Linked DNA regions of Rhinolophus ferrumequinum. The protein of the gene in region 4 purifies or fractionates together with the protein of the main gene of each other region. This does not show direct contact. Links are inferred from orthologs where the notes say so. Each region holds a gene or a part of one and is shown on either strand. Other genes may lie near its edges. The genes, in order: CCDC86, EBNA1BP2, SON and SRPK3.

Evidence for each region.
Region 1: the proteins of SRPK3 (region 4) and CCDC86 purify together in Homo sapiens (affinity purification with mass spectrometry; 3 studies listed by BioGRID and IntAct, with this or other methods). This does not show direct contact. The link is inferred for Rhinolophus ferrumequinum from reciprocal best matches to the Homo sapiens genes SRPK3 and CCDC86.
Region 2: the proteins of SRPK3 (region 4) and EBNA1BP2 purify together in Homo sapiens (affinity purification with mass spectrometry; 3 studies listed by BioGRID and IntAct, with this or other methods). This does not show direct contact. The link is inferred for Rhinolophus ferrumequinum from reciprocal best matches to the Homo sapiens genes SRPK3 and EBNA1BP2.
Region 3: the proteins of SRPK3 (region 4) and SON purify together in Homo sapiens (affinity purification with mass spectrometry; 3 studies listed by BioGRID and IntAct, with this or other methods). This does not show direct contact. The link is inferred for Rhinolophus ferrumequinum from reciprocal best matches to the Homo sapiens genes SRPK3 and SON.

The regions. Positions count from the first base shown.
Region 1 is NC_046294.1:9,918,663-9,925,743, reverse strand, and holds the start of CCDC86 (coiled-coil domain-containing protein 86), read left to right. Parts: upstream 1-4,065; 5' UTR 4,066-4,209; coding exon 4,210-4,970; intron 4,971-7,081.
Region 2 is NC_046292.1:30,447,461-30,454,335, reverse strand, and holds the start of EBNA1BP2 (probable rRNA-processing protein EBP2), read left to right. Parts: upstream 1-3,854; 5' UTR 3,855-4,027; coding exon 4,028-4,093; intron 4,094-4,176; coding exon 4,177-4,260; intron 4,261-4,581; coding exon 4,582-4,751; intron 4,752-5,345; coding exon 5,346-5,469; intron 5,470-6,602; coding exon 6,603-6,692; intron 6,693-6,875. Other genes in the region: CFAP57 (cilia- and flagella-associated protein 57), read right to left, coding at 2-318, 3,302-3,458. UniProt on the Homo sapiens protein: Required for the processing of the 27S pre-rRNA.
Region 3 is NC_046285.1:99,475,331-99,482,816, forward strand, and holds the start of SON (protein SON), read left to right. Parts: upstream 1-4,481; 5' UTR 4,482-4,751; coding exon 4,752-4,828; intron 4,829-7,486. Other genes in the region: GART (trifunctional purine biosynthetic protein adenosine-3), read right to left, coding at 1,303-1,447. UniProt on the Homo sapiens protein: RNA-binding protein that acts as a mRNA splicing cofactor by promoting efficient splicing of transcripts that possess weak splice sites.
Region 4 is NC_046284.1:6,645,155-6,652,503, forward strand, and holds the start of SRPK3 (SRSF protein kinase 3), read right to left. Parts: upstream 3,001-7,349; 5' UTR 2,936-3,000; coding exon 2,883-2,935; intron 2,812-2,882; coding exon 2,681-2,811; intron 2,532-2,680; coding exon 2,423-2,531; intron 2,293-2,422; coding exon 2,205-2,292; intron 1,924-2,204; coding exon 1,836-1,923; intron 1,421-1,835; coding exon 1,314-1,420; intron 1,232-1,313; coding exon 1,066-1,231; intron 955-1,065; coding exon 929-954; intron 422-928; coding exon 289-421; intron 198-288; coding exon 1-197. Other genes in the region: PLXNB3 (plexin-B3), read right to left, coding at 4,680-4,784, 5,033-5,107, 5,220-5,295, 5,361-5,425, 5,638-5,785, 6,002-6,162, 6,289-6,467, 6,793-6,886 and 2 more. UniProt on the Homo sapiens protein: Serine/arginine-rich protein-specific kinase which specifically phosphorylates its substrates at serine residues located in regions rich in arginine/serine dipeptides, known as RS domains.

The DNA.
Region 1 (7,081 bases), on a different chromosome or scaffold from region 4:
CCCTTCCCAGCCCCGGCAGGTTCTCTGCACCCTGCTGACGCTCTATGGGGACAGAGAGGGGGTCTCACAGCAGGGGTCTCAGGTTCCACTCCCATCCATCCCCCTCACCCCTCTGCTGAGGTCTCTGCCCCTCCTCTTGAGAATCTGAGACTCGTTGTGAGCTGCTGGGAACACAAAGAAACGATGAACCTCTGAGATGACTGCTCATGATAAGAAGTGACATAATAATGTGGTCCTGTTGCAATTTCTCGGCAGGGCCTGATTCAGGGTTCACACACGCAAAGGAGGGGGAGCAAACACTGAAGGAGGAGAGCCGGGTCTCCAGCGAGGTCAAAACAAAATGTAGCAAGGCCGAATGACAAAGCCGGCACTTGTCCAGAAAAACCAACAGCTCGTGACTGGGATACGGGGAACAGCAGCTGGAACCAGACTCGAGGTGTCAGTTGATGGCTCACGGTCGGGAAGAGGATGGGGACCTGGCCACACTGAAAGGAATGGTGGAGTAGGGAAGTGACAAATGCCTTGGAGCTCTGTGGGGCATCCCGGCTGGGTGCCTGAGGGAGCTCTGGGCACCACATTCTGGAATGGTTGTAGAGAACTAGTGTCTTTTCCCAAGAGTGGGAGGGACAGCTGGAGGAGCAGATGTTGGGCCTAGAAAAAAAGACAATTCTGGAAAGCTACAGGAAAGCTGACTTCACATACTTAAGAGACCTCTGAGTGGAGGAGAGGGCAGCCTGGACCTGTGTGCTCACACTCAGCCCCAGCCCAGGGACATCTTTGCCTCCTCAGGTCCTGCCCTCACTCCAGCCACACTCAGCAGCATCCCAATTGCCAAGTCCTTACACATACTCGGCCCCCAGGCCTGGCAGATGTGAGAGTAGGGGCATGGATGTGGAGTCAGGAAGCCCTGAGCTCCAGGGCTGTCCTAGCACCAGGCACCTTCTCCTTAAGTCGCCAGGCACCAAATCACAACCTCTCCCAGCCTCGGATTTCCTCGTTGGTAAACCAGGGCTGTTCATCCAGCCCTGAGGGGGTCATAATGGACATCTATTCCCACGTTCAGCAAATGCTTATGAAGCACCCTCCTGGTGCAGGCATCACCCTCCTGCATCCGCACTCCAGCGGATTAAACGAGCACCCAGGAGAGGCCCAGCACTTAGGAAGTGCTCAGTTAGTGCTCAGGTGACTGCCACAACCCTTTCTCTGCTTATCTCTGATTGTGGTCCTGAGCAGAGGGCTGTGGTGATGTGTGCCCCTGATATGTCACACGCTCTCAATGGCAGCACCCTTGGCTGGGTGGAGTATCAATGGCTCAGAGAAGAACACCTGATCTGTATCTTTGGTCATCTCTGGGTGCAGATGATCAGTCAGCAGATCTCAGGTTACATAAATAATCCTTCAGCAGTCTGCCCAGTGTGTATGCACAGAGAGCCATGGCCAGCCCATGGGGCGACATGGCACCCAGCAGCTCCCAGTATACAGACCAGGGTCAGTGTGAGGAAGGGCGAGCGAGGCCCATGTGAGAGGCAGATGCAAGGCAGCTAAGTATGCCGGCTCTGGAACTGTACTCCTGACTCCTTGATGTAGAGCTGTGTGACTTTGGGCAAGCACCTTCGCCTTTCTGTGCCTCAGTTTCCTTACTTGGGTAACAGAAGATTTACTCTTAAGGGTTGTGGCTCTGCAGTCAGACAGCCTAGGTGAGGATCCCACAACACTGATTTGCTGTGTGATCTTTACAAGTGTCCCAACCTCTCTGTGCTTCAGTTTCTTTATCTGTGAAATGGGAGTAATAACAGCACCTGCCTCACAGGGTCGTTGTGAGGATTACATGGCTCTGTACATATAGAGTACTTGGAAGAATACCTGGCCCAACAATTGCTTGCCCCAGTGTTTTAGGCCGGGTTCCTCCAGAGCTGACTGAGACAAGGATTTAAGTGCAGATAGTCTGTTCAGCAAATGACCTCAGTGAGCACCTACCAGTGAGAAAGTGAGGCAGGGACAGAGAAGACGCCAAAAGAGGATGCCTGAATGACCAGGATACCTTCGTAGGCAAGTGGGGCTCAATCCTGCTGGGTCCTCTGGGGGACTGTGAGAACCCCCGCAACGTCCTCCCACCCAAGGGTAAGGAGGCTGGGATGTTTGCGGGAGAAAGCAAAGGAGTGTGAGGGAACAGAGTCCCAAATGCCACACCAGACTTTTCTGAAAAATTCAGGGGTCTCCTCTGGGGCCCTGCACACCACTGACAGTGACAATGACAAACAGGTCAGGTGGGAGTGGAGGGTCTGGGCCACAGTTCGCCGGGTGCCTAGGTTGATAAAGGGTCTCCACACATGATTCCAGAGGTACCCACAGAGCCCATGTCTGTCAAACATCTCTTTCTCTCACACGACCCTGGCAGGGACCTGAGATCACCCTCTGCAGTACTTTCAGCCTGGCCTGGATGTGATCCATCCAGCATTTGAGAGCCATCCCTCCAGCTGAGGACAGGAGCTCAGGACGCAGGAAGCTGAGGGGACCTGACACAGGACAGTGGTAGTGCGGTGGCATACGGTCTCCTCCAATAACCCTGGTAACACACACTGGACCTGGTTCTGAGCAGTAGGCCACTCAGGTCTCCAGGCAGGTGCAGGAATTGAAGGAACCAAGAGCTGGGGGCTGGAAGAGCTGGGCAAGGACAGGGCCGAGCTGCTTCTGCAGTGGGGAGCCGTACTGCTGGGCAGGAGACTGAGGTAAGCCTCCCTGCAGGGCGTTCCTTGGCCCAGGATCATGAGGGTGCAGAGCCTGCAGAAGGAGCCTCTGAAAGGGGCCAGGAAGGCAGGGACTAACACATGACAACAGTCCAAGGGTGCAGCTATTTCTGATGACATGGAGGGACATTGGAGAACCCATGCCGTCGTCTTACCTTTGGGGAGGTGATTTCAACAGGCTGAATTCATCAGGATGTATTGTGGATGTTACATAGCACCAGCCAAGGAGTGAGATGTGTTAAGGGCTTGTCAGTCCACTTTTCCATCCTTCAGGAACCTTTGTCTGGAACCTCTTTACCTCCTCCTTGATCCACAGTCAAGACAGGCTGAGCTCTACCTGCCACTGCAGAGTGACTGAGCAGGTGGGGGCTGTGCTCAGCGCGGAGGCCTCGCATGTCTGCCCTGACCTTTCTCCTGTGACTCCTGAGCATCCTTGGACAGTTTCCCAGGCCTTCTCACAACCCCTCTGCTGGAGAAACAAGGTTTTCTAAAAGAAGCCCCTGGGACAGCAGGACAGGAGCCCTGGGATCCCAGAGGGCCATCCCCAGGCAGTTCTAAGAATAACAGTGGAGCGGGGATACAGTTGGGCAACTTCCAAGATGTTCTTCCTAAGAAAGACTTGTGCTGTGAATGACGAAGCCCTGCCTGGGTCTCACGCAAAGGAGGGGAGAAGGCAGGTTCACACACTGGGGCAAAGACCAGTCTCCTCTGACAGGAAGCTCAGAGACCATCCAATCTGTCTCTAGAATCGAGAGGGTATGCCGTGAGGCTGAGGGCCCAGGTGTGCCAGGACAAAGGTGATACATCTTACTGGTACCTCAACTTCATGCGTAAACGTTGGAAATATTGATTGAAAAGGGCGAATCATAGATTTGATACTTAAGCACAGAGTGGGAGAAAAGAAGGCAAAGGTATGACCATTTCACCGGTAACTCCGCCGGTAACTCCGGACTTCCCCACCTCCAGGATCCTCCAGGTACTACCTTGGCAATTAGGAGTACTCAGACAGGGTCATTTTAGATACACTAAGCGAGTGCAAAATCACCCATATTACACGTGAAAAAACTGAGGTCCAAAGAGGGTGGGACCCCTGCCTTACTACACAGGAGTCAGTGGCCAAGTTTTCATCCAGCCTTGCCTACGGGCTCCATTCTCCAGGAAATGGGTCCCCTGCACTCTCTTTTCCCCAGGAAATTGCAGGAAAGGTAAACCGGGATCTCAAGCTAGGCTTCGTTCGCTCATCAATCCCAAGCAAATTCACCACCGCGCTTTGCGCATGCGCACAGTAAGCCCAGCCCCTCGGGCCACCAACCCCGCCTCTCTGCCCATCACCAACATGGCTGCCCTGGCGATAGCCGCTCCTGCCCGGCACCAACGTGGCGGACGCTGACGTCATAGAACAGCGCCAGTTGCCCCACGCGCTGCACGTGGAGTCGGATTCGGGAAACTTTCAGGTTGGGCCATGGATACACCGCGGAGGCGCAGCCGGCGGCTGGAAGGCCTAAAGCCTGAATCCACCGATCGTCCCACCTCAGTTTTGCGGGCGAGACGGGTCCTTGTGGAGTTTGAGTTGAACCCAGAAGAAACGAGAGAGCCCGAGTCTCCTCGGAGTGTGCGGCAACCCGGCCCGGGATCCCCCAGACGTCAGCCGGTGACATACCCGGGATCACCCAGTCTACCGCAGGGGGCAGGCCTGGGGTCCCCCCGCAGGGAGGCAGATCCGGGCTCAGGGCCCCCCCAGAGTCAGCAACATCCAGGCCTGGAGTCGCCCCGAAGACAGGAGGAGTCGAGTCCCGAATCCCTCCGACGTCAGCTAAAGCCAAGTGGGGAGTCACCACAGTTCTTCCAGAGCCGTGAAGAACCGGACGCGGAGGTGGCCCGCAGTAAGGAGGCGCTAGTGCCGGGGTCTCCCGGACATCAGTTGCAGCCGGGCCCGGGATCACCAGAGCCTTACCCGGGTCAGCGAGCCCCAGGTCCGGAGCCCTCGCCGCCACTACAGGAGCTGAAACCCCAGTCATCCGGCTCCCCTCGGGGTCAGCACGAGCCGAGCAAGCCACCTCCCGCCGGGGAGCCGGGGAGAGACGGCCTAGGGCCAAAGAAGCGAAAAGGATCTTCAGACCAGGCCCCAGCGCCCAAGAAGTTGAAGGAGGAGATGGAGGTTCTTGTAATCCCGAAGGGAAAGCCCAAATCGGGGCGGGTGTGGAAGGACCGCTCCAAGAAGAGGTGAAATGGGGGGGGGGCAGCTGGGCAGGGGTGGGGTTCTCTGTGGTATTGGGGCACCGGTGCAGCCTGGAGACAGCCCCTAGGTTGGAGAGAGCTCACACAAACTGGTAATTATAATCAGAGTGTGGTAAAATGCCCTGGGATCCGGGGCCCGGGGAGCATGGTTATTTCTGTGCTGCTTTTCTCTTCAGGGTCTCTGCATCTCTCCGAAGAACCTCCTTTGTGTATTCATTCAACAGGCATTTGCGTTTGTCTGCCTTCGCCAGTGAGGGAGGCAGAAGCAAGTAAACCAGCTGTGACTTGATAAAAAGCAGTGAGGTCTTCACCCACTATTATCTGTTACAGTTATTTGCCTTTGTGATAGAAAGTATTACCAGCACTGACTGAGTATACAGGACACTGCTAAGCACTTCAGTAGGCCTTGGCCAGGGGATGGCTTTTCAGACACAGGGACCAACATGCATCATGGGGTTTAATCTGCACATCAGCCCTGTGAATCAGCAGGTTTATCCTCACTTTACATATGAGGAAGCCAAGGCTCTGCAGAGAAACGGTGAGCAGACCGTAGGAGGTCCCGTGTGAAAGCAGAAGCTGTTGCAGTAGAATTAAAACACCTTCAGAATCTCAGGCAGGTCTTGTGGATAAGGGCCAAAGGGCCATCGAATTGATGTTTGTGATCTTGGTGAGTGAGCCCAGAGACAGTGGAGGCAGCACCTGCTCCAGGAGTTGTCCCAGCAAAGGGGGCTATAGAGGTAGCTGGAAAGGCCTGGCTGCAGCCCCACCTTCCTTGCTCATGCTAAGTGCCACCTTGGGTGTGCTGGCTCCCTTCTCTGAAGGGTGGCGTTTATTGAGCATCTACTAGGTGCAGAGCACTGTGCTAAGTGATTCTCAGGCCAAGTCTCGATTAATCCTCCCACTGTCCTTTGGGATGAGAATGATTCTCATCTCCATGTGACATGGGAAGGTGCTGAGAGGCTACCTTGCCCAAGGTCACACAGGTAGTAAGTGGTGGATTCGGGCCTTGGAACCCAGGCCTATATTCCTCCGATCTCCAAGTAAAATTGATGCTCTGGAACGGCCCTGCCCAATACCTTAGCCACCGACACATGTGGCTATTTCAATTTAAGTTGATTAAAATTAAATGAAGTTAAAAATTCAGTTCCTCAGTCACACCAACCACATTTCCAGTACTCAGCAGCCAAGTAACTAGTGGCTTCCTTCTTGGGCAGCATCAATGTGAACAGTTCTACCATTACAGAGAGTTCTGCTTGGCCGTGCTGCTCCAGAAAGATGCAGCTTTGTGTCCTGTGGCTCTGTCCAGGTCCCCACTGCCTGGTCCATTTGGGTTTCTCGGACCCCTGTTGGGGTAGGGAAGAAGGTCATGCTGCAGCCTCATTCTTCTGTGCTTCAGAGGCCGGGTCTTCCGCAGCAGGCCCTTGGCGACAGGGAGACGGAACAGTGCGGGGGTGTGCTGAGCTCTGTCAGGCAGAGTGGGGGGAGGGAGAGCAGAATCAGCCTGAATATGGACAGGTGTGGGGTCAAATCCAGCTGTGTGTGCCAGACTCCTGTGAAGCAAGAAGGGGAGAAGACAGCCATATCGAGCCTTCCCCGTGGATGGGAGTGGGCTCTGCCCTGGAGGCATCACAGCCTTCAGAGGCTGGGACAGGACCGCCGACCTGCTGTGACAGGTCAGGGCACCACGTAATGGACGTGGATGAGCAGGAACTCTTTCGCAAGTTAAGATATTGGAGGAGGCAAAAAGGCCCCGATGAGAGGATCTGCCAAGGAGAAAAGGCCCACGGGGCACCCAAACAGGCCTAGAGTTCAGGAAAAAGACCTACAGCTGAGGGGAGCGCAGTTTAATGAACCCCACGTTCTCATCACCAGCTTCCATAGTCCTCAGCATTTTACTGGTCAAGCGTCATCTTGCTCTCTGATGTTTTTTTCTTTTTTTTTTCTTTTCTGGAATATTTCACAGCACGTCCTAGGCGTGTCATTGCACCCACACTCCTTGCAGTGTGCGTTCTCACAGATCATCTCCTTTCTCCCATTAAGAAAGGATTTCCCACTTAAGGAAATCAAGACTTCCCCTGATGACCTGCCGTGCCCAC
Region 2 (6,875 bases), on a different chromosome or scaffold from region 4:
CCTGATAGACACCATTGTTCTGAGAGTCGATTCTAACAATGGCCATTACTTTCTGTTTTTCCCACAGCCAATAGACAAGGTTGGACTCTGGAGGTGATGTCTGAGTCAACAGGTATTTGGAGTCTGGAGAAAAGGCCATGCAAGTAAATTTCTGAACTGGGAAGTCAAAATTATTAAGGATTTTGCGCTTCCGGACAGGGATGGATGACAGTTCATAAATGGTGATGACAGGTTTTTCTTGCACCATCTCTGAGACAGCGAGGTATCGCCTATTGGGACTGATGGACAAGGCCAACATGCCTTGACTCTTCTCTGAGCCTGAAAATAGAGGTAAAAGGGAGAATAAGGGTAGATGAAGCTTTCACCAAGATTCAACGTGAAGCAGCCACAGCGGCTGACGCAATAGGAGAAAAGTGCAGAAACAGGTCATTGTCAGTCCACGAGCCCCTTGGTACAACTATATCTGGGGTATTATTAAAATGACTAGGATGGGTACCTCCCTGAGGCGAAGCTTGGAGGAGAAGTCAGGGAACAATTCCTGGAGGCGGACAATGTGGGACAGGGAGGGGAGTGGGGCAGGTGGCAGGAAGAGAGAAGGTATGAATGTGAGAAAGTAGGATATTGCTAGAGCATCACATGTGAGCCAGGGATGACCAAAAATGGGTCTAGAGGGGTGGAAGAGGATCAGATCATAGAGGCCTTTATGCCCTGAGCAGGCAGCACTTAATACTCTCCGTCTACTTTCAAGGCCGAAATGCTAACCACTGGATTCCTCAGCCTCCCTTGCAAATAGGTGATCTATGTGCCATTCTGGCCAGGAGATAGATGTAGAAGTCTGCTGACTGGCTTTATGGTAAAGCTTGTGCTTTCTTGAAAACCAGGGATGGATGCACTCTATCCCCCTTTTCCTGGAATACAGAGGTGATATGTGGAAATACAGCAGTCATCGTGCAACCTTGAAGTAACAAGCATGAGAATGAAAGCCACGGTCCTCTAGATAGCAGCGCCTGCGGCAAAGGTTAAAGTGCAAATACTTTATTTGTGAAATGCAATCAGGGCCACATTATGATTTTTGTGGGCCTTAGGTACTTTAGCTTTCAGGGACACCTTCCTCTATTAAAAATGTTAAAAATTATATTTTGTGACAGCATTTGTATAAAGAGGAATATATCCAGGCTGGATTCATTGATATGTTCATTATTATTATATTCATTTTTTTCCTGATTTTAAAATAAATTAAAATTAAAACATTTTCTTCTATCCTTAAATGTATCATGGGTCCTAGGCTCTATGCCTACTGTGCCTTGTGGACAAGTCTTCCAGCTCAGTTAACAGCAACTCCATCCTTCTGATTAATAAGGCCAAAAACCCCACTTCTTTTTCTCTTTCACCCTACATCAGATCTCTGAGAAAATCTGTCACCTCCACTTTCCAAGTGTATCCCGGATTTGATCTCTTCCCTATGGCCTATAACTTGCTCCATGACACCATTTTCTCTCACCTGGATTACAGCAATAGTCTCTCAACTGGTCTCCTGCTTCCTCCCTTACCCCTCCTTGCATCTACTCTCTAAACAGTAGCCAGATGAACCTGTTAAGTCAGACCATGTTATGCTGTTGTGAGTACCCCCAGGACTTCTCATTTCACTCAGAATAAGAGCCTATGACCCATAAAGCCCTAAGTGAGGTTGCTCCCCATCACTTCTCTGCCTCACCTCTCAGTGCCTATTGTTCCAGTCACTTCACTTGAGCCACCCTGGCCTCCTTGCTATTCCCCTAACACACTGAGCACCCTCCTAACTCTGAGCCTCAAAGGTGAAAAGCAGAAGTATAAAGCATAAAAGAGATAGTATGGGAGAATAATTAATAATCTTGGGTTAGGGAGAAATTCCTGAACAAGACACAAAAAGGAAAATGTTGATAAACTTCACTTCATTAAAACTAAGAATTTCTAAAAAAAAAAACAAAAAACAAAAAAAAAACTAAGAATTTCTGTCCATCAAGATACCGTAGGGAGAAGACACAAGCCCCAAACTGGGAGAAATTATTTGCAATACATATATTGGACAAAGGATCGGTGGTATACAGAATATATAAAGTGTACTCATAAGTCAGTAAGAAAATTGCCCCCCAAAACCACAGAAAAATGGGTAAAAGACATGAATAAAGCATCTTACAGAAGAATGAATAGGAATAGCCCATAAACATGTAAAAAAAAATTCATTCTCATTAAGGGAAATGCACACGAAAACCAATAAAATCAATCACTAGGTTAGCAAAAAATTAGGAAGTTAGACAATACCAAGGGTTGGCGAGGTTGTGAAGGAATGGCAACTCTCATATACTCCTGGTGGGAGTGTAAATTGGTACTACCGCCTTACGTAATTTTAGTCCTGGCTGTGTGTCCTGGAGAATCTCTGCACAAGCGGATGAGCATACATGAATGCAAAGACATTTTTACACTAGCGCGGTTGGTAACAGCAAAAAACTGTTGTTTCCCAAATGTCCACCAACACCAGAATGGATAGATACAGTTGAGACATTAGATTCATAGGACGGAACACTACATAGCAATAAAATGAACTCAAGATGCATGTAATATATATCAAAATGTATAATCTCGAAAGCATGAGCCACCTTGTTTGTTTTGATGTTAAACAAAAGAAGCCAGCCATAGAATACATATACTATGATTCCATTTATATAAAGTTAGTAAATAGCAAAAAACAAAACTGTATCTTACGTGGAGTTACACATATGTGGTAAAACTCTATGCAACAAAGAGTGGAAAAAGGGAATAAATAATCAAGTTGTAGAAATCATATATATCGACAGGAGCAATGTGAACAAAAACAAATGTGACATTATACAAATGGTTATTTGTGACTTGGGATAAAATCTCCAGTGTCTTCATCATGCATGAATTATAAAGGTGCTGGGATGAAGGTGGTATACTCTGAAAAACTGTCAGATAACTCAAAAAGTGGCCCTGGTGATGACAAACACAATGATTTTGAAGATGCATGAAAAGACACTCTTTACATTTTTTTTTCATTAGATCACAGTGGAAAAAAAACTTTTAAATTAACATTATTTTACATGTGATTTTAACTGTGTATGTGTGATTGATTACATGTTAAATAATGCAAGCAGACATGTATTCCTTCCACATTTGGAAAACTATACGTTTATTCAAGTTGGCCAAAAAAAATTTCCTTTCAGTCATCGTATTGAGACTATGGGGTTATATTTGCCACCTAAGGTTAATGTACGAGTATGTGGCAGGATGGAAAGGGGTTTACCTGGAATGAATTTTTGCCACTTCTGATCCATATTGTACCTCACACACTGATTTCCTGCAGGAAATATAATGATCTGCTCATCGAAGAAGAAGATATTGTTGGCCACTTGGGATTGAAGACCAAAAACATGGTGCGACTGAGCTACTACGGTCGACATGGTCCCTGGCCAAAGAGATCTGTAAAGACCGAGCCCGCAGTTGACATGGAGAAGCGCATCGCCGCCCAGCCCCGCCCAGGACACGCCCCTCACCACGCCCCCAACCCTCCTCCACCGCCCACTCCAGAGCCCCTCACCCACTACCCCGCCGAGGCTCCGGATTCTCCCTTCCTTTGCACCCTCGCGGCTTCCTTCTCCTCCAGCCATCCCCCCACCTCCCGGTATTCCCTCTCACCTTTCGCTTTTCCTCCCCGAGTTACCAGACCACACGTATATCCCGGGGTAGTACCACGGCTCTCAGGCAACCTCGGCACTATGAGACGCCGGAGCGGTTCCTATAGCAACGGAAAACCGGAAGTGTGTCTGGGCCCGGAAGCGGAAGTCCAGATCAAGAAGTCCCGCAGCAGTAGTGAGTTGTTGGCTGTGGAGCGGTTCGGTTCCACGTGGAGCCGCGGCGGGAAGGTAGAGGACTGAAGAGCGGCGGCTGCAGCGAGAGGTGCCCTTTCCAACCGCGCGGGCCTCGGCCTACTCCGCTTCCCCAGGGACGTGTTGGACGTGCGCGCAGCCAGATGGACACTCCTCCGCTCTCAGGTTCGGACTCAGATTCTGATGATTCTCTTGTCACGGACAAAGAGGTAGGTGTCAGCCGAGCTCGCGTGGCTGGACGCGGGGAGAGGTCCTTACTCCCCTGGTACCTATCGCCGATTATGTCCTGCAGTTGCAGGATGCCTTTTCCCGAGGTCTCCTGAAGCCAGGCCTCAATGTCGTGCTAGAGGGGCCGAAGAAGGCAGTGAACGACGTGGTGAGCTCGGGCGCTTGGCGGAGGGGGGTACTCGGACGTGAGATGAGCACAACGAAATGTGCTTGGGTGACTGAGTTCTTGTCCCAGAAAGGACACTGCGTGCGTATTGTCAAGAGGGTCAGTTACCTGTCAGGGTATTGGGGGATAGCACTTTGTCGGTTCGCCTAGCACCCTGGGCTTGAGAGAGACATATTCAGGGTTCCCTTCTTAGGAGCTCAGTGTCTGAATTTCTTAGAATGGCCTGAAGCAGTGTTTGGCTGAATTCAAACGGGATCTGGAATGGGTTGAAAGGCTTGATGTCACCCTCTCTGAATTTCTTAGAATGGCCTGAAACAGTGTTTGGCTGAATTCAAACGGGATCTGGAATGGGTTGAAAGGCTTGATGTCACCCTCGGTCCGGTGCCAGAAATCAGTGGACCCCAGTCACCACCTCAGGACAAGGATCAGAAAGCTGTTGATCCAGAAAATGACTTCCAGCGGGAGATGAGCTTGTATGTTTGTTTTCAAATGTGGGAGAAGTTGTCGGTCCCTATGCTAGAGAGGGAGGAGAGAAGGAAAGTGGGGAGCCCGGACTCCTCAGAAGTTATCACAAGCCTGGGATCAGGGTGGGAGGCCTCTTTGGACTAAAAAGAGCTAAAGTTTTTTGTACATTCAATTATTAGAACAAAAATTTGCTTATGGAAGTTTCTTATATAGACATTTTTAGCGACTGCCTAATAATTCATAATTGGCATTAGTTTTGTAAGTTAGTGGGTACTTTTAGAGTGGTGATTCTCTTAAACTATTCATTTATTTTCAGCAGTACTTCCCATCACCCTACCTTTTTAAAAGAGTGTACAGTTAAATTTTTCCAAGATTAACTTAGATACCAAGTTAATGAGGTTTAAATGAGGTTAAATTTTTCCAAGATTAACTTATATACCAAGTTAATGAGGTTTTTATTTGTGTGTTTTTGTTTGTGTGTTTGTTCTTGCTGGTGGAGGTCAGATGTTGAGAGTCTTTCTGACCTTGGATAACTCATGAGAAGCAGTGAGAAGGAATGTAAGGCCTCTTAGCTTATTTCACACTTTGTCCTACATCCTCAGCTACCGTCAGGCCCAGGCCGCAGTGCTTGCAGTATTACCCCGCCTCCATCAGCTCAAAGTCCCTACCAAGCGGCCCACTGATTATTTTGCAGAGATGGCCAAGTCTGATCAGCAGATGCAGAAGGTAAGAAACAGGGAAGGTTTTTTTTCTGGAAAGCCAAGGTGTTGTACTTAAGTATATTCAGCTGGCTTACCTTCTGTACTGTTTAAAAAACTAAGCCTAATAATAGGGAACCAGTTGTCAAAGGACAATTATCACCTCTGTTGTCTACTTCACACTCATGACAATCACCACCAATTAGATAAATGTAAGGGTGACTTTTTCCTAATTTAAATAATTAAGATGGGGCGGCTGAAATACTATGTGGTGGACCTTCTTTAATAAAATTTTTTTTAAAAAGCAAAAAAACGAAACAGTTAAGGGGAGGAAAAGAACTGGAAGTGTGGTCCCCAAGGTAAACATGGCCTTTTGCATTTCCTAGCTGCCATGATCATGGCATGTTGTATAGAAAAAACACAGTTCTTGTCCTGCCATTACCAGTGGGCAGTGCTACAACTTGTAGACAATTCATTTTCTCTGGGCTTCAGTTTTCTCTTTGGTAAAATGAGGGAATAATGTATGGCTGAGATGTAGTATAATTTAGGGTTAGGTACAGCTTGGTCCTCGTTTAACTTTGGGAGGAAGAGAATTGCCAAAATCTAATCCAAGATGTATTGACATAGTTCTCTTGGGTCATAAGCTGGATTTTAGGGAGCTCTTATCTTGGCGGTACTTAGGGAAGCTAATCTAGAGATGGGCCCAGACACATCTCTGTACATTCACACTGACAACTGTTCATCCTTGAACTGAAATGTGTATGTTTGATGGAAAAGGCGAAGTGCCCAATATCTGTTGGAGTTTTTAATGTGTATGTGGTATATTGGAGAAGGGGACAGTAGGGATGGGGAGAAGTTAATTTCTCTTGGCAAAATTGCAAGCAGTTTTGTATAATGGAACAAATAGCACAGTGGGAATGGGAAGTTTGCTTGCAGGTTCTAGCTCCACCGCTGCTACGTTTGGGATCTTGGACAGAGTGCTGAGCCTTTGGGCCTCATTAGCCTCAGGTGTAAAACACAGGACTTGGAATAGGTGATAATCAAGGTTCCTTTGAGCTCCACAGTTTGCAGCACTGGGAATATCTGTTTTCTGCTCCAGTGTGCCCTAACTAGTGGTCATCTCAGATTCAATTAACAAGCTGACAACATTTTGTGTTTTAGATTCGACAGAAACTGCAAGCTAAACAGGCCGCCATGGAGAAGTCTGAAAAGGCTAAGCAATTGCGAGCACTTAGGAAATACGGAAAGAAGGTGAGAAGGAAAGTGTGCAGGGGATAGGATGAGGCCGAGTGTGTTTTTCAGGCCAGATTGCGTGGTCTGATTTGTTCCATGCCCTGTATGTGTTCAGTCATGTGCTTATTATTTCATAGTGGGGTGTGTGTGCTCTAGTATTCATGAACTCATTCTCTTCTTGATGCCAGTGTGTCACCAGGA
Region 3 (7,486 bases), on a different chromosome or scaffold from region 4:
GTTGGGGATAAGTGCAGAAAGGGTAGAGTTCTCAGTCCACAGGAACTGCCTGAGTGGAATAAGGATGGAGTACAATGCACTCTGGGCAAGCAGCTGCAAACACAAGTGGGCTGAGCAGAGCCAACTACCTCAGCACAGCAGAGGGTGGCATGCGGAAGAGGACACATCTAGCTTGTCTCTGCAAGTGGTAGCAGCCTCAGGACAATCGGGGACATTTTCATGGGCTGGCCTGCATGGCATCAACTGCTTTTACATAAAATGTGCTAGTTCTTCAATAAACATACAATATCTCACCCCCTAGCTAAGATCCCAGGGAAGCAGATATTTCCTTATTTATCTTTTTCTTATTATTGTTATTTTTGGTCCTGTGTATGCTATTATCTTCTCCCAGTTTATGGCTTGCTGGGTCTTCTCTCCAATACATACTATGAGCCACATAGGGTACTAGGCACAGGGCACACAATATAAAACAAGACAGTTGAATTCCTTGCCCTGATGTAGCTTACCTCCTACAGCTTACGTTCTAGGGGTGAAGTGAAGGTAGGAGACAGACAATAGACAAGTAAAAAATAAATATAGATAATGGTTCACAATCGCAAACAAATAAAATGTGAGGTGGACATGCTTTACTTAGAAACTTTAGGAAAGTCCTCTTTGAGGAGATAACATATAAGCTGAGATCTGAAATAATGAGGAGCCACTAATGCTGGAGGTGGGAACAAATACAAAGGCCTAGGCAGCTCTGTTTGGGAAACTGGCAGCCTGCATGGCTAGAGCACAGTGAAAAGAAAACAAAGGATATGACAAATAATACCGGAAAGGCAGGCACAGGCTAGATCACAAAGGGCTTCATCAGGAACACTAAGGACTTTTGAGTTTTATTTTAAGTGCTATAGGAAGCCACTGAAGAGTTTAATATAGCATAAGAACTGATCATTTTTTCATTTTTACCAGTTAAAGAGATAAAGGCTGAGACCTATGATGGAGATAGAATTGCCAGAACTTAATAGCACTGCTCAACTTTTCATGTCCAAAACTACACATTAAAATGCCTTTAACCTACCTACATTGGGCATGTGTGACTTTTTTAATGGATGTGTTTTATAAGGTTTAAAATAATTTAAGATAAGAAAATGCCACATACCGAACAACAGTATACCTTACATTTACAATATATGGCAAACATTCAAATTACCTCATAAACTTTAAGGTTAAGAAAAGCATTCACATCTGAATAGCAATTGACCTTATAAAAAACAGATGCAGTTGACAGTTTATCATTTATAATTAAAACATGATTACCAGCATTTGAAATCTTTTCAGAGCAGGCAGTGCCTGCATTTCCTGGGGCAACCAACACCTGTTTGACATGATTAGACTGTGCAAGTTTCCACGCCAGTGCATGTTCTCTTCCTCCATTGCCAATTACAAGTACTCGGGCTGCCATTGCTGTCTGCAAAGTAGGAATTCAGAAGGAAAATGAGAGCTGCAGAAAGAAAACCACAATCGGTATTTCAGAATGCACATACTTTAGAAATAACAATTTTTAAATATGATGTATTCCAACAATTCATTTGTGAAAAGTTAGGATGAATTTGAGAAATGAAATAATGAGAAATATGACTGTATTCATGATTAGGGAGGTGTTTTAAAAATGAGGCAGACAGGCCTAGAGAGCTAAGTTAAGGAGTAAAATGGTGACTTTAACTCCTTATTGGATTAATAAAAACACAAAAAACAAACCTTGTATGAACAATAACCTTCTGGGTTTTTAGAAGATATAATAATCGAGCCTCAGTTAAAAATGAATCCTGATGTTTTACATCTAGACCAGAACTCAAAATAACTATTTTTAAATCTTGTGATCATCTGCTGTAGCATGAAAACAGCCATAGACAATATATAAATAAATAAATGTGGCTATGTCCAGTAAAAACTTACAGAAACAGGCAGGCCATGGGCAGTAGGTCATAGTTTGGCTATCTCTGCTCTAAGCAATAGAAAGTAATCAGAGGTTTATAAAGAATAAGCATGGCTGTGTTTTAATAAAACTATTGTTTATGGACACTGCAATTTGAATTTTAATTTTCACGTGTCATAAAAACACCGTTCTTTTTCCCCCAAACATTTAATAACGTGAAAACTATCCTTATTTGGTGGGCTGTACAAAAACAGTTGACAGGAAGGATTGGCATAAAGGTCATAGTTTGCTGACCTCCGATTTAAGAAATTAGTGCAGTATTTTAGAAAATCAGTAGAGAAGGCAAAAATCAAATTTGAATATGTCTCACATTGTTCTGGAATTTGATTCTGAGCAGGATGGGGCAACAGCTATCTCTCCACTGGTTAGCAGTGTGACTTTGGGTAAGCTCTTATTATTTCTAATTCAATTTCTTCACATCTTAAAAGATGGGAGAAAATTTGCCTTACAAGGTTACTTAAGGATGAACTGGAAGGGTATTTATATAAACAATTAGTACAATTTCTGACATTCAGCAGTAGTAAATGCTAACTTGTTATATTTTATTAAGTACTTTTACTTAAAGTAATACTTTAGAAGTTAGAAGTTCTAACAGAAAAAAAAGCAAAAGGAATGAATAATTTGGCAAATTAATTTACTAATTTTCAGAAGACATTTAATTACGTAGAAGGCAAACTGAAAATGGGAAAAAGAAAACTGAAATTTGTAACTTCTTGTGAGATGCTAGGATTACACATTTAAATAAAAACCTAAGTTGATAATAGAAAAAACTAACACTTTTTGAGCACTTACTTTGTGCCAGATGCTACATTCTAGACGCTTTTCATGAACTACTTTGCTTAATCTTCCTAATTCTATGTGATACTATTACCATCCCCATTTTACAGATAAGAAACTGAGGTACAGTTAGGTTAAGTAACTTGCAGGTCAGAGCTCATGTATTGCAACTGAAGCAATTTTTCATCAGATACTGTAACAAGGAGATGGTGGTCATTGAAAACCTGAGGGAAAAAAATTACTAAATTATCTTCTCAGAAAGGAAAAAGTTATTTTAATTTAACAGAAAACACAGATTTGCCATGTGCATTGAAACATCTGAAAGAAACACAGCTTTAAAACTAGAGAAAATATTACATTTTGTTTGAACAAGAAGGGGAAGAGAAGACTCAGCCTGAACGAATCTACACCAGGAGTGGTCAGGCCCAGGCTCTAATCCGGGTGCCTTGGTTTGGGTTGAGACACTGTCCCTTATTAACCAGGATACGTTGAGGGACTTAACTTTCTCGGGCCTCAGTTATCCAAGTGAGTAACATAACGAGATGAAGAGAGCCAGGTAAAGCCTGGCTTTCAATGGATTTGGTGAGTAACATAAAGTAAAAACCAATTACAGAGGTGGACTAATCTGCTAGACACAATGGGTGCATAACAAGAAAATATACAACTTATATTTATGACCTAAAAAAAGAAGCATAAAGATACAAAAGGCCTGAATCTTAGAAAGCAGGGAAAGTGACAGATCCAATGTAAACCTCAGTTAAAAATGAAAAGCACATGGCGAACCCCCACTCAGTGCATTTAAAAATTGAGTATTCCTATAGCCAAACCAGTTTCTACAGCTATCTCACAACTGGAGTTAGTTCATTCAATTCCTAATATTAGATCCCCAAACCAAAGCATAAATGTACTTTACTTAAAAGCGCCGAGGGCTTACGCACGAACACAATGTCGACTCAAGGCCTTCTGGCCGCTGGCACTCACAAGTTCGACTGCGCGCTTGGAGCTCGAGCGCCCGCGCGCGCCGGAAGTCAGCCCACCGGGATCCGGGGCGCGCGCCTCCTCCCCGCTCCGGGCCCGCCCCGCGGTGGGCTTCGCTTCCCCATTGGTCAACGCAAACCGTGGTCTCTGCCGCGAGGTAATCAGTGTGTTCCCTCCCATTCTTGGGTGCGGCCTGAGCCCACTCCAGCGCAAAGCTAGCAAGCCCTTCCTTGCGTGCTTATGTGATACTACAGCATCAGGTGCCACCTAAGGTCTTTATTCCTCCCGGAGAGCGTCCCGGTCTCTGAGGAGGGGGAGTGTCCCAAAACGCTGAATCCACACTTAGCTAATTGTGTGTTGCTAACGAGTCAGAATCGAGCAGCTACAGTGATAGTCTCGCCTGGCTCCTGACTAGCATGCACCAGGCTTTGAACGCAGGTCGCGCAAGACTTCCTATTGCTTAAAAACAAAACTGATTATAGGCTATCATGGGGTAAAATCGTGTCCTTCCTATTGGCATCTCAGTGGGGGCGGGCGCTGATTAATGCTTTCCCGGATGCATCTCCCTTGCTGAAACAACTTGGGAATGTCGGAGGCCCGGTATCCAACGTGTTGCCCTTCTTACCCCCTTTCCTCATAGTATTTAATCTCGGGAGTTTAGTGGCTAAAGTAAGCCTCTTAAGCTTCCAAACATTGTTGGGGACTGACAACTTAAACTGACAAAGTCGCCTCGAGAGATTTCTCCTGTAATGGCGCCTGCGTCAGTCACTAACATGGCGGACAGAGTCGTGCGCGGCGCAAACGTCAGCAGCTCTACCCAAGCCGCTCAGAAACAGCGGAGGAGAGCAGGGCCGTGCTCACTGATTGGTACATTGGCAGAGCGTGCAGATCCGGACGCTCCCACAGGAGCCAATCAGGACTGCGAGAGACGGAATTGGCCCCTGCGCCTCCTCCCGAGGCATTCTGGGAGCCTGGAGGACTAGCGAGGAGGAGTTGAGAGAACGGAGCGGACGCCATGGCGACCAACATCGAGCAGATTTTTAGGTCTTTCGTGGTCAGTAAATTCCGGGAAATTCAACAGGAGCTTTCAAGGTAGGCGCTTCCCAGACTCTTCTGCTCCCAAGGGATCGATAGGGCATCATGTAGTCTTCCATACCACCTTTATTCAGAGACGCCGTCGTTCCCTGCCTCAGGCCCCGCTACAGCCCCGCCTGGGCCTGGGATCCATTTTCCGCCCCCCCCACCCCCATCCGCTCCCTCCCTTCCCAGCGAGGAACTTCGCTCTTTCCGAGGTAATCCCAGACTCTTCTCCAGGACCGAGTTAAGAAGCTCACTCTTCTCTCTCGTTTGGTCGTCCCCTACCCTTTAGTTAGTAGGCCTGGTTGTCCACTAGGGACGGGCCTAGTTCCTCCTCAGCTCCTCCTCCGCCGCCGCGTTTCCCCTCCCCCTCTCAGCCTCCGCGGATTTCGCCGGTCGGTGCCTATGACCGGAAAGGGTCTCTAACGGCCGTTTTTTTGACTAAACTTAAATCCGCTTTTTACTGCATGCTTCAGACCATTTGGGGGTCGGGATCCTCTAATTAGATTATTTGGGCCCTAGTGTCCTGTGGCTTCCACCAGGCAGCATTGTAAGTTTCGGAATTCAAATTAAAAAAACTCAATTAATGTTAGCTGCTTTGACAAAAATTTCGAGTTGAGGATGGAAGGGGACTTTGAATTACTACTAATTTCTTAATTTAGCAAGTGAAAGATGGGCTTTGTGTGTAGATCTAAATTTTTATTTGCTATCGTTGCCCCAATTGATATATTTGAACAACACATTCCATTTTGCCATTGCTGGTAGACTACGTAGTTTATCCTTGGTTCCACAAAATTTGAACGAGGAGAGAGTTCCAAAGAAATAGTTGTTTACTCAGAGGAAAATAGTGTGGGTAATGTGGTTGTTCACTGGTTGTCTTTCAGTATTTTTTGCTTTGTATAACGTAAATATTTGTTCCGAGTCCAAATGTTTTTGCTAGTTTTAGTTTAAAAGTTGAGAGCAGGAGCAATAAAAATCAACGGAAAACGCAATTGTAAATTAAGCGCTCGAGTTAACAGCGTTATTGGAGCAACGATATAGTATTGCTAGGATTATTTTTTACAGGATATATTGTATTTTAAATGGGAAATATATCCGCTTACTCATTCCATTGCTTTCAAAAATTTTGTTACATGCTTGTATTTTCAGGATGATGGGAAAAGACCTGAGCTAAGGGAATATGTAATACATATATTTTGGGGGGGATACATTCTAATAGTCTCGTGCAGTAAGTGGTTGTGTTTGCTTATTGTAATGTCTTTTATACCTTTTAAAATCGGTTTTTGTGTTAGAAAGTGTTTTGTTGTGAAAAAATTTTAAAAAGTTTAAAAGGAACAAAATTAAAAACCACCACAGTTATTGATGTTCTTTGATTTTTTTTTTTTCCTGTGTGGATAGATGCACATACATGTCTTGTGATATGTGATTATCTTGTGTTGGTTGTTTTTTCACCTAATATATTGTGAGCAAGGTTGTCTTTAATCAATCTCCATAGTCTTTTGGGACTTATGGGACATTTTTTTCATGGTTCCGTAGAATTCTGTAGGAATGTGTTGATGGATGTTTAATGGTTTGAAATTTTCATCCCTTTTGAGGAAAACATCCTGATAGCTTTAAGATGGTTACTTTCTCATAGACTGACTTTTTTTAGTTGTACTTTTCTGATTTTTAAATCTGTTGCCTTTTTAGTGAGGTAATTACGTATGTGTAAGTGCTTAGGAAAAGTGCTTTGGAAGGAAATTCTAAAGAATATCAGAGAAAGCAATTTATTACTAGAGGAATATTCAGCTCCTCAAATAACATGTAATACATTATCGGTCGAAAAACAGATTTTTGATATTTGCCATTTCCATGAGCTTTATGTCCCATCTATTTTTACATATGTCAATTTCAGTAAGGAGACTGAAATTTAGATAGTTAAAATAGGTTGTTTATTATATATAGATGGTGGTTAAGAGGATGAGCTCTGGCTTTGAATAGCAGCTTCACCTCTTAATAGCTGTGTGACCTACAGCAAGGTTTCTTGTCTTTTCTGTGCCTCATATTCCTTATTTATAAAATCAGAATAATAGTGCTGATCTTAAGGTCTCATTAGAATTAAATGAGTTTAAAAAATGTAGAACCTTGTGACACTAATAGTCAACAAATGTTAATTATGTGCATCATTGTATTAGAAAACCAAATGTTCCTTAATTAGTTAACTACCAATTTTTTTTGATCATTCAGACTTTTCATCAGGTAGTGGAGCATAATTCCATCTGTTTTGTTAGCTAAAATGTAAGTTAAATTGAATGTGTTCTTGAAATTATTTTTTAAAACAATTTTGCAAATTTATACAAAAATAGTGGAAATGACCATGTAAATGACATGTTCTTACGTTTGTTAAGATTCTTGTAAAACAAAACAAAACAACCTTTAAAAAAAACCCAAAACCCACAAAACAAATGAACAAAACAAAAACAAACTCATAGATACAGGAAACAGAGTGGTGGTTATGAGAGGGGGAGAATGTTGGGGAAGAGGGAGGAAGAGGTGAAGGGGTCAATGGTGTGGCGATAGATGATGGTATCTGTCTAGACTTTTGATAGTGACCACTTGTGGTGTATATAGATGATGGATGATTATGTGCACTTCAAGACACACACACACACACACACACACTTTACCCCAATT
Region 4 (7,349 bases):
GCCTGAGAGGATGGAACACGAGGCGGGAGAGAAAAGGGAGCCGGAGAAGCCTGAGGTCTGGGAGCCGGGGCTGAGGCTGCGGTCGCCCCCCGTGGCAGGGGAGGAGGAGGCTGGGGAGGGGCCGGCCCGGGCCCCTCCAGGGTGGCAACCGGAAGAAGAGGTAGAGCCGCTGCCCCCCTCTAGTCTTGAGCTAGAGTCTGGGGAGAGGGGCAGAGGTGGTGTGTGAGTCGAAGCCCTGGCGGCCCGCGCTCAACAGCCCCAGGGTGGGGGGCCCCTCCGGCCCCTCACCCTCAGCCTGGGCAGCTGCCTCCAAGGCCTCCAGCCTCTGCAGGTCCCGCAGCCGCTCCTCCAGCAGCCGCTTCTGTTGTTTCCGTTTGCGCCTCATCTTCTTCCTCTTGTTTTTCGACAGCTTACCCAGCTGCTGTTAGAGCCAGGGTCACCCCAGGGTTCCTGTCGCCTATTCCTTGACCAGCTGGGACCTCTGCCTGTGGCCTACCACTCCACAGGGGACAATGCCTCTGGGCCCCAGGGCTCGCACAGATGTCGGAATGTGGCACATCCTTCTTCCAGAACACTCCTTGGCACCAGCCTCTCACCCACCTCCTGCCTTCCCTCCTGCCCCCACTCCTCAAACCTCAAGGTTAGGGAGGAACGGATGGGCCTGCATCTGACTGGGTGCCTGCTTCCTCTGGGGGCAGCCCTGGTCCCTCCCAGTGCAAGATGCGATGTCCTCACACTGAGGCAGTGGTGACTCTAGCAGCCACCAAGGGCAGGTTGGGGCATGTGACCCGCCACATGTATCACCCTCATCTGGGCTGCCCAGCCTTTTGGAAATGCAAGAGTGCTGCGGAGGGCAGGGAGGCTGAGGAGGCGAGCTCTGAGGACATGGGGAGATGAGGCACAGGAAAAGAGGGGTATCCCAACTTACCCAGACCTCCTGGGGGGCAGTGCTGACTGTGGGGGGGGAAGGAGGGGCACCGGGGGGAGGGGTAGAAAGAAAGGAACAGAGACTCAGGCAGGGGCTGAGACCCGCAGGCCAGCCCCAGCCCCATACAGCTCTAGTACCTGTGGAGCGGGATGGGGGCGGTGCCCCTGACTGCTGCCACTCCGTGGCCTCAGCAGCCAGGCGCCTGATATAGGTGTCACCCACACACAGCAGGATGTTCTCAGGCTTGATGTCTGTGTGGATGATCTTGCACTTGGTATGGAGGTAGTCTAGGCCGTGGAGCACCTGGAGACAGCCCCTCCTGAGCTCCACCAGCCGTACCCAGGCTGCCTCCCAGTGCTGTTCCCGTGGGCTAGGGGGTGCTCACCTGCCTCACAATGCTCTTCACACATGGCACAGGCAGGCCCTGGTAGTTGGACTTGATAATCCACTTGAGGAGCTGGTGGCCCAGGACCTCTAAGACCATGCACACATCTGGGACTGGAGTGAAGGGTGGCTGGCAGGCGCGCAACTGGGCACAGGCTCCACCCCCCATCAGTTGGGGTCGAGGAGCTGGGCCTGGTGGGCCTGGTGGTCACAGTGCCCCTGTAATTCTCAGATATGCCAGTTGGGATGGTACATCTGTGGTCATCCTAGGGAGAGGGCACTGGAGAAGCAGGACTCTCAGACCAGCCCCTCTTACGCCCAGGTACGCCGCAGACGTGGTGGGCCCTGCCATTTGGGGGTAACTTAGCAACATGGTTACCCACTGTGCCCCATAACGAAGTAGTGAGGGTATTTTGAAGACAAGGGTCATCATGCAGATCAGCAAACTGAGGCCCTAGCAGCTGGGAAGTCACAAGCGGGCGCCTGTGCTGCCATGGGGCTTTGATCAGCCTGCAAAGGATACGGACTCCATTAACCCCTGAGATCCTGAAGTCATCGATGAGCTGGACAATGGTCTCTCTTTTGGGGTCACTGGGGTCACTGTCTCGGACCTGGAGCAAAGGCCAAAGGGCCACGGATGGCTCCAACCTGCCCCTCACCAGCTGCTCCCGGGGTGGCAGACCCCTCTCCCACTCCAGGGGCCTGCTGGAAGGCAGGCCGCTGGCCCTGCCCTCGCTGGCTCCTCCAGTTCCTCCCACTTGGGCAGGGCCACCTGGAGCCCGCCCTTCTGGGAGTTCCGCCCCGCCCCAGAAGCCCCTGCAGGCCTGCACCCACATTGCCAGGCCCCAGGCAGCTCCCCGGGAGCTGGGAGTCAGTAGGGGAGGCGCCTCACACATTTCAGGAGCTTGATCTCATCCACAGCTGTCTCCGTGTAATGCCCTGCACTCTTCACTACTTTCAGGGCCACGAAGCGCTTGCGCCTGCAACGCCGAGACCCAAGTCAGCTGCTAGCCCCGGCCAGACACATGGGGACATCATAGTGGCCCCAACCAAGCCCAAAGGCAGGATCCCAGCCGGCACTGGGCCCCAGGGGGCAAAGGGGACACTCACTGGATGTCCCAGCAGAGCCAGACGGTGGAGAAGTGGCCCCAGCCCAGCTTGCGCACCACATGGTACCGCCCATTGAACAAGTCGCCAATCTTCACGGGGTAGTAGCCACCTGGGGGCAGGGAGCCAATAAAGACCGGTGGGGGGCATCACCCTGCTGGCACCCTGGCCCACGTGGACTGACACCAGCACCCTCTCCCTGGGCTGTCCCATTCCCCCCATGGGAGCTCCTGGCCGCCTACACCCCAGGCCAGGCCTCACCCTTGCAGTAGTCCTTGGGGTCCTCCTGCTCCTCGTCGTCAGAGCCCAGCAGCGCCTGCAGCATCCGCGGCACTGGCGCAGCGGGAGCTAGTTCAGAGCCCGAGGACTCGGGCCCACAGGAGGTCTGTGAGCTGTGGGTGGGTCGGGCGGGCAGTGAGCGTATGAGGCGCCAGGGGCCCCAGGCGCCCAGGCCGAGCCCTACCTGCTGCTGCTGCCGACACTGTCCCTGCCACCACCGCCAGCACTGGCACTCATCTTGGCCTCGCGGCCTGCAGCTCCGGCGCCCCGGGGGCTGCTCCTGTGGGGCCCGGCCTTGGCCAGAGCATTTATAGCCTCGGCCCGCTGATCTCACCCGCCTTTATAAATAGCCTCCCAGCTGCTCAGCTGTGGGCAAGGTATGCAGCGAGGAGGGGGCAGTGCAGCGACAGCGCCCCCCCCATCCTGGCCCCCTAAGACAAGCCCTCTTCCCCCCCACCCCCGCTTCTGCCCACAGCTGGCAGAGCCGGCCACTGCGGGGACAGAGCGAGCAGTCCCTCACAGACCCCAGGACCATCGGGTTACCCACGTGAGGACATGGTGACCGGGCCCCAGGGTGAGGCCTTGCACTCCAGAGACGGCTGAGGGGGTCAGCCAGGCAAGGACACCATGGACTTGGCAACCTAGTCCTCAGGCCAAGCTCCCACCCCCCACCGTGTGCTTAGAGCACCACCGACACTTTTGGAACCTTCTCTGGCTTCCCATTTTTCCTGTGCCTCATCATTGACCCCTAAGATAGATTGGAGCCCGATGTCCTCTTTTTCCTGAATGTGGATCACTGGGGGCCCTGGTATAGCAAGAGTCAGGGGCCTGAGCTAAAGGCAACACGTTACTCCCACCAGAGGTGCGGGCCAAATGGAAGCCTGGAAATCTGCCCAGCCAGGACTCTGGCGCTGGGACCCCGGGCAGTCTCCCTCTTGGCTCTGTTCCACGCCTGCCATCTCCGCCCTGCTCATTGTCTCCACCAACATGTGCCATGTGCCCCCATGGGAGGCACAGGGAGCTGTTGACCCTGGCCCTGCCCTCAGGGGTCCTCCTCCAGTGGGAAGCAAACAAGCCCACAGCTCTAGCGGGCTGGTGACAGAGGGATGTCCAGGTCAGGCAGAGCCTATGACTTTGGAGCTACATCAGAGGGACCAGGAAAAATCAGGTCCTCAGAAAGGGGGTGGATGGGTAAGCCTTCAGGGTGTCAAAGGCTGGGGCAAGGCTGGCAGCAGACTGGCTGGCGACCTCCAAGGCTGGACTGGCTGCAGAGTGGCTGGGGATTGGGGGGGCCTCGGGTGGCCAAGTATGTGCCTCCAGCAGAGGCTGATGGGCACTTTTGTTCTTTAGAAAGATCACTCTGGCTGCTCCCAGGAGGGAATGGAGAGGGCCAGAGTGGAGCCAGGAGGCCAGCTGGGCACTTTCGGGGAGCACAGGGGCTTAGCAGTGACTGTAGTTAGCCCAAGATGGGAGACATTTGGTTCTGTGTCCCTGTGTCAGAAAAGAACTGGTAGGGTGGGGTGGGAATAAACAGGGGTGGGAAGACAGGGACCCCTTTCCTGCAGGGGCCAGGGGAGGCGAGGGGAGGGAGGAGAGCAAGTCCTGGGGGTGCCTGATTACCCCTCTTTTCCTCAAGCAGCAGAAGTCACAGCCCTGGGGCCGTGTAGATTCCAGAGGAAGGCAGGGGCTGGGGATTGGGCTTTTTGTAAAAAGACAGATTCCCATTTTATTTCCAGAAGCAATTCTCCAGCAAGCAAATAAATACAATGTGGGGGGAAGGAGAAGGATCGCTATAAATTAGAAAGAAGCCCGGACGGGGAGGAAGGGCGGAGTGGGGGTAGAGGTGGCAGGGAGCCCCCCCCAACTCTGCCAGCCCCTCTTCGGTCGCTGGCTCGATCCAGGGGCCATAGGCACTGTGGTGGTGGGTCCTGCTTGCTGCTGTCCAAGCTGGTGGGCCTTGGGTGCCTGCTGTGGCCTGGGCTCACAGGTCAGTCACCTTGTTCTCCACCAGGGCAGCGACCTGCTGCAGGCGGCAGGCCAGCTGCATCTTCTGGCCCACAGGGTCTTCCTCCAGGGCACCGATGATCTGCCAGGGCAGAGAAGGGTGCCCAGCCTGAGCCTCCAGCCCTCTGCCCACTGGCCCAGGGCCACTCAGCCCTGCTTCCATCTCAGCAGCTCCTGGGGATCCAGTGGGGGCTGCTCTGGGCAGAAGCTGGACAGAAGCCAAGCTCCTTCTCAACCCGGGCCCTTCCTCCCCTCTGCCGGCTGGTTGGGCCTGGACACCTCCTCCGCCCCCAGGGCGGTGTCCCTTCCCCGGGAGAGTCCTGGCCTCACCTGGTCATAATACCTGTGGATGTGGTTATAAAGTTCTTGCAGAGCTTCCAGACAGTGAGGAGCAGAGGTGTAGTTCTGGGGGCAGCACATAGAGGGGATGAGGCCCCAGCCTGGGCCTTAAGCCCCAAGCCTCCCCCCCACTCTGTCCCCCAAATGTATAGGCGTGTACCCCTGGTCCGTGTCTCACCCCCGAGAGCTCAGCCAGAGCTGAGTTCATCTCCTGGTAGCTGGCTGGAGAGCTCTGGCGAATGTCGGAGTAGTATCTGGAGGAGGAGATACCGTTAGGGGCGGGCAGCCTCTACCCAAGCCGTGATACCCTGACACCTACCTCTCCACCATCTGCTTGTAGCGAGGGATCTCCCTGGCGTAGAGCAGTTTGTTCACTGGGGAATCCTGTTCCGGGTAGAGGTAGGCATGAGTGCAGAGGTGGGGAAGCCCCTGTCCTGTGACCCTGACAGTGCCACCAGTGCCCCCGACCACTAGCCTACAGTATGCACCCCCCACCCCAGCTCCACCCAGGGCTCTGCACCCAGCCCCCGGGGCTTCTCCCACAAGCCTTTTCTCCTCAAGCCCCTGGCTGTCGCCGAGGCCAGCTCTGCCCTCACCCGGCCCACTTTATGCTCTGAGAGGGTGCAGGAGTCGATGAAGGTCTGGGCGATGACGGCAAGGATGGCATCCACGTTGTCTGACACCCGCACATCAAAGATGAGCTGTGGGTTCTTTAGGGTGTTCACCCAGAACCGCAACAGCAGGCTGGGGACACAGAGTGGCCACGGGCGTGAGGCACGGCGAGTCTAGCACCCATCAGCCTGAGCCCCACCCTGAGTTCCCCAGGCAGCTGTCCTGAGACTTTATGCTGGGGGTGTGGGTTCCTGTTCAGGGCCTGCCGCCCGCCACCCTGGCAATGTCCTTGTCCCTCTGGGACTCCATGTCCCATCTTCGCGGGGATGGGGCCAGCTGGCAAGGTACCTGTTAGTTTTCCAGATGTGTAAGGTCTCCGGGTCCTCGATACCATGCTTCTCTGCCAGCTCATCCAGGAAGTCAAACAGGTACTTGACAGCGATGGGCACGGGCCGGTTCACGCTGAGAATGGCCTGGAAGGTGTCATCTACAAATTTCTGCAGTGTGCCCTGGAAGGCAGGGGCGGGGATTGCATCAGTGGCTGGGGCCGCCCCTTGGCCTCTCAGGACCATGCCCTCCCCGCAGCTCAGTCAGGGGCCCCTCAGGGCGCCATCCAGTCACATGGCTCCACCGACCTTCATGGAGAGCAGGCGGGTGAGGTAGATTTCTGGAATGGCCTTGGCCCGTTCCCGCTCCCGTTCCCGCTCCCGCAGGCTGCTGCGCCGCACCTTGGCACCTTCTGGCTCCTCAGTGCCTTTCACCAGGTGCCAGAGGCGGACCCCGCCCTCCTCACCATCCTCCAGCATGGGGATGTCTGAGGACACATGTGCTGGCCTCAGTCCTATGCCCCAACTTGATGGGGTGGGACAGGGTAGGAGGAGCCGAGGAAAGCAGAGGGTAGCAATGTGAAGAGGAGGGTGGCAGCTCAGGGGCTTGCTCAGCAATACCCCGTGGTCCTAGAGCTCCCTGGCCAGGACACACGTCTTCCCTCGTCTGACCCAGGCCCTCAGCTCAGCCTGGAGCTTTGGCTGGCCCACTGGCAAGGTCTGGGGAGACCCAGGGGATGGCATGACCAGGACTCCTGCCGGCCTGCCTAAGCTCCCAGGGGCACATGGGCATGTCTGCGTCGCAGGACTCACTCTCTCTGGAGGGACAACTCTGGGCCAGGCTCTGGGAGACAGCGCTTCTGTTGTGCAGCTGGGGGATGAGCCCCACTGTGGCCCCATCCGGGACCTGGCGGAGAGGGAAGCAGAGGCTGGGATCCTTCTTTGCTTCATCCCGAGGCATGGGCTTGTCCCCCAGCCTGTACCCGCCCCACAAACCTTGTAGTGCTGTAGAGTGTTGAGTCTCTTCCAGTGGTTCTGGGTCACTGAGGTCAGGTCCTCGTCTGATAGGGTTAGGTGACCAGCCAGGCCCGAGCGCCACTCTGGGGGGACCCAGAGAAGCCAATCAGCCTTCATCCCGTTCCCCAACTCTGCTATTCAGAGCAAGGCAGAGCCGAGCCTCTATAGGTGGAACAGACCCAGGGGAGGAAGGCAGATGGGCGTCTTACCAAGGTCTAGGGTGTGCACGGCAGGCCTCTGGGAGAAGGGGGTACCCTTGTAGACTTGGTCCAACACCTTCTCCTTCACCTGGGTGATGGTGTCTGTGTCGAGCACCCGGGCGGGCACACGCTGTGCCTCGCTGCTCCCCACAG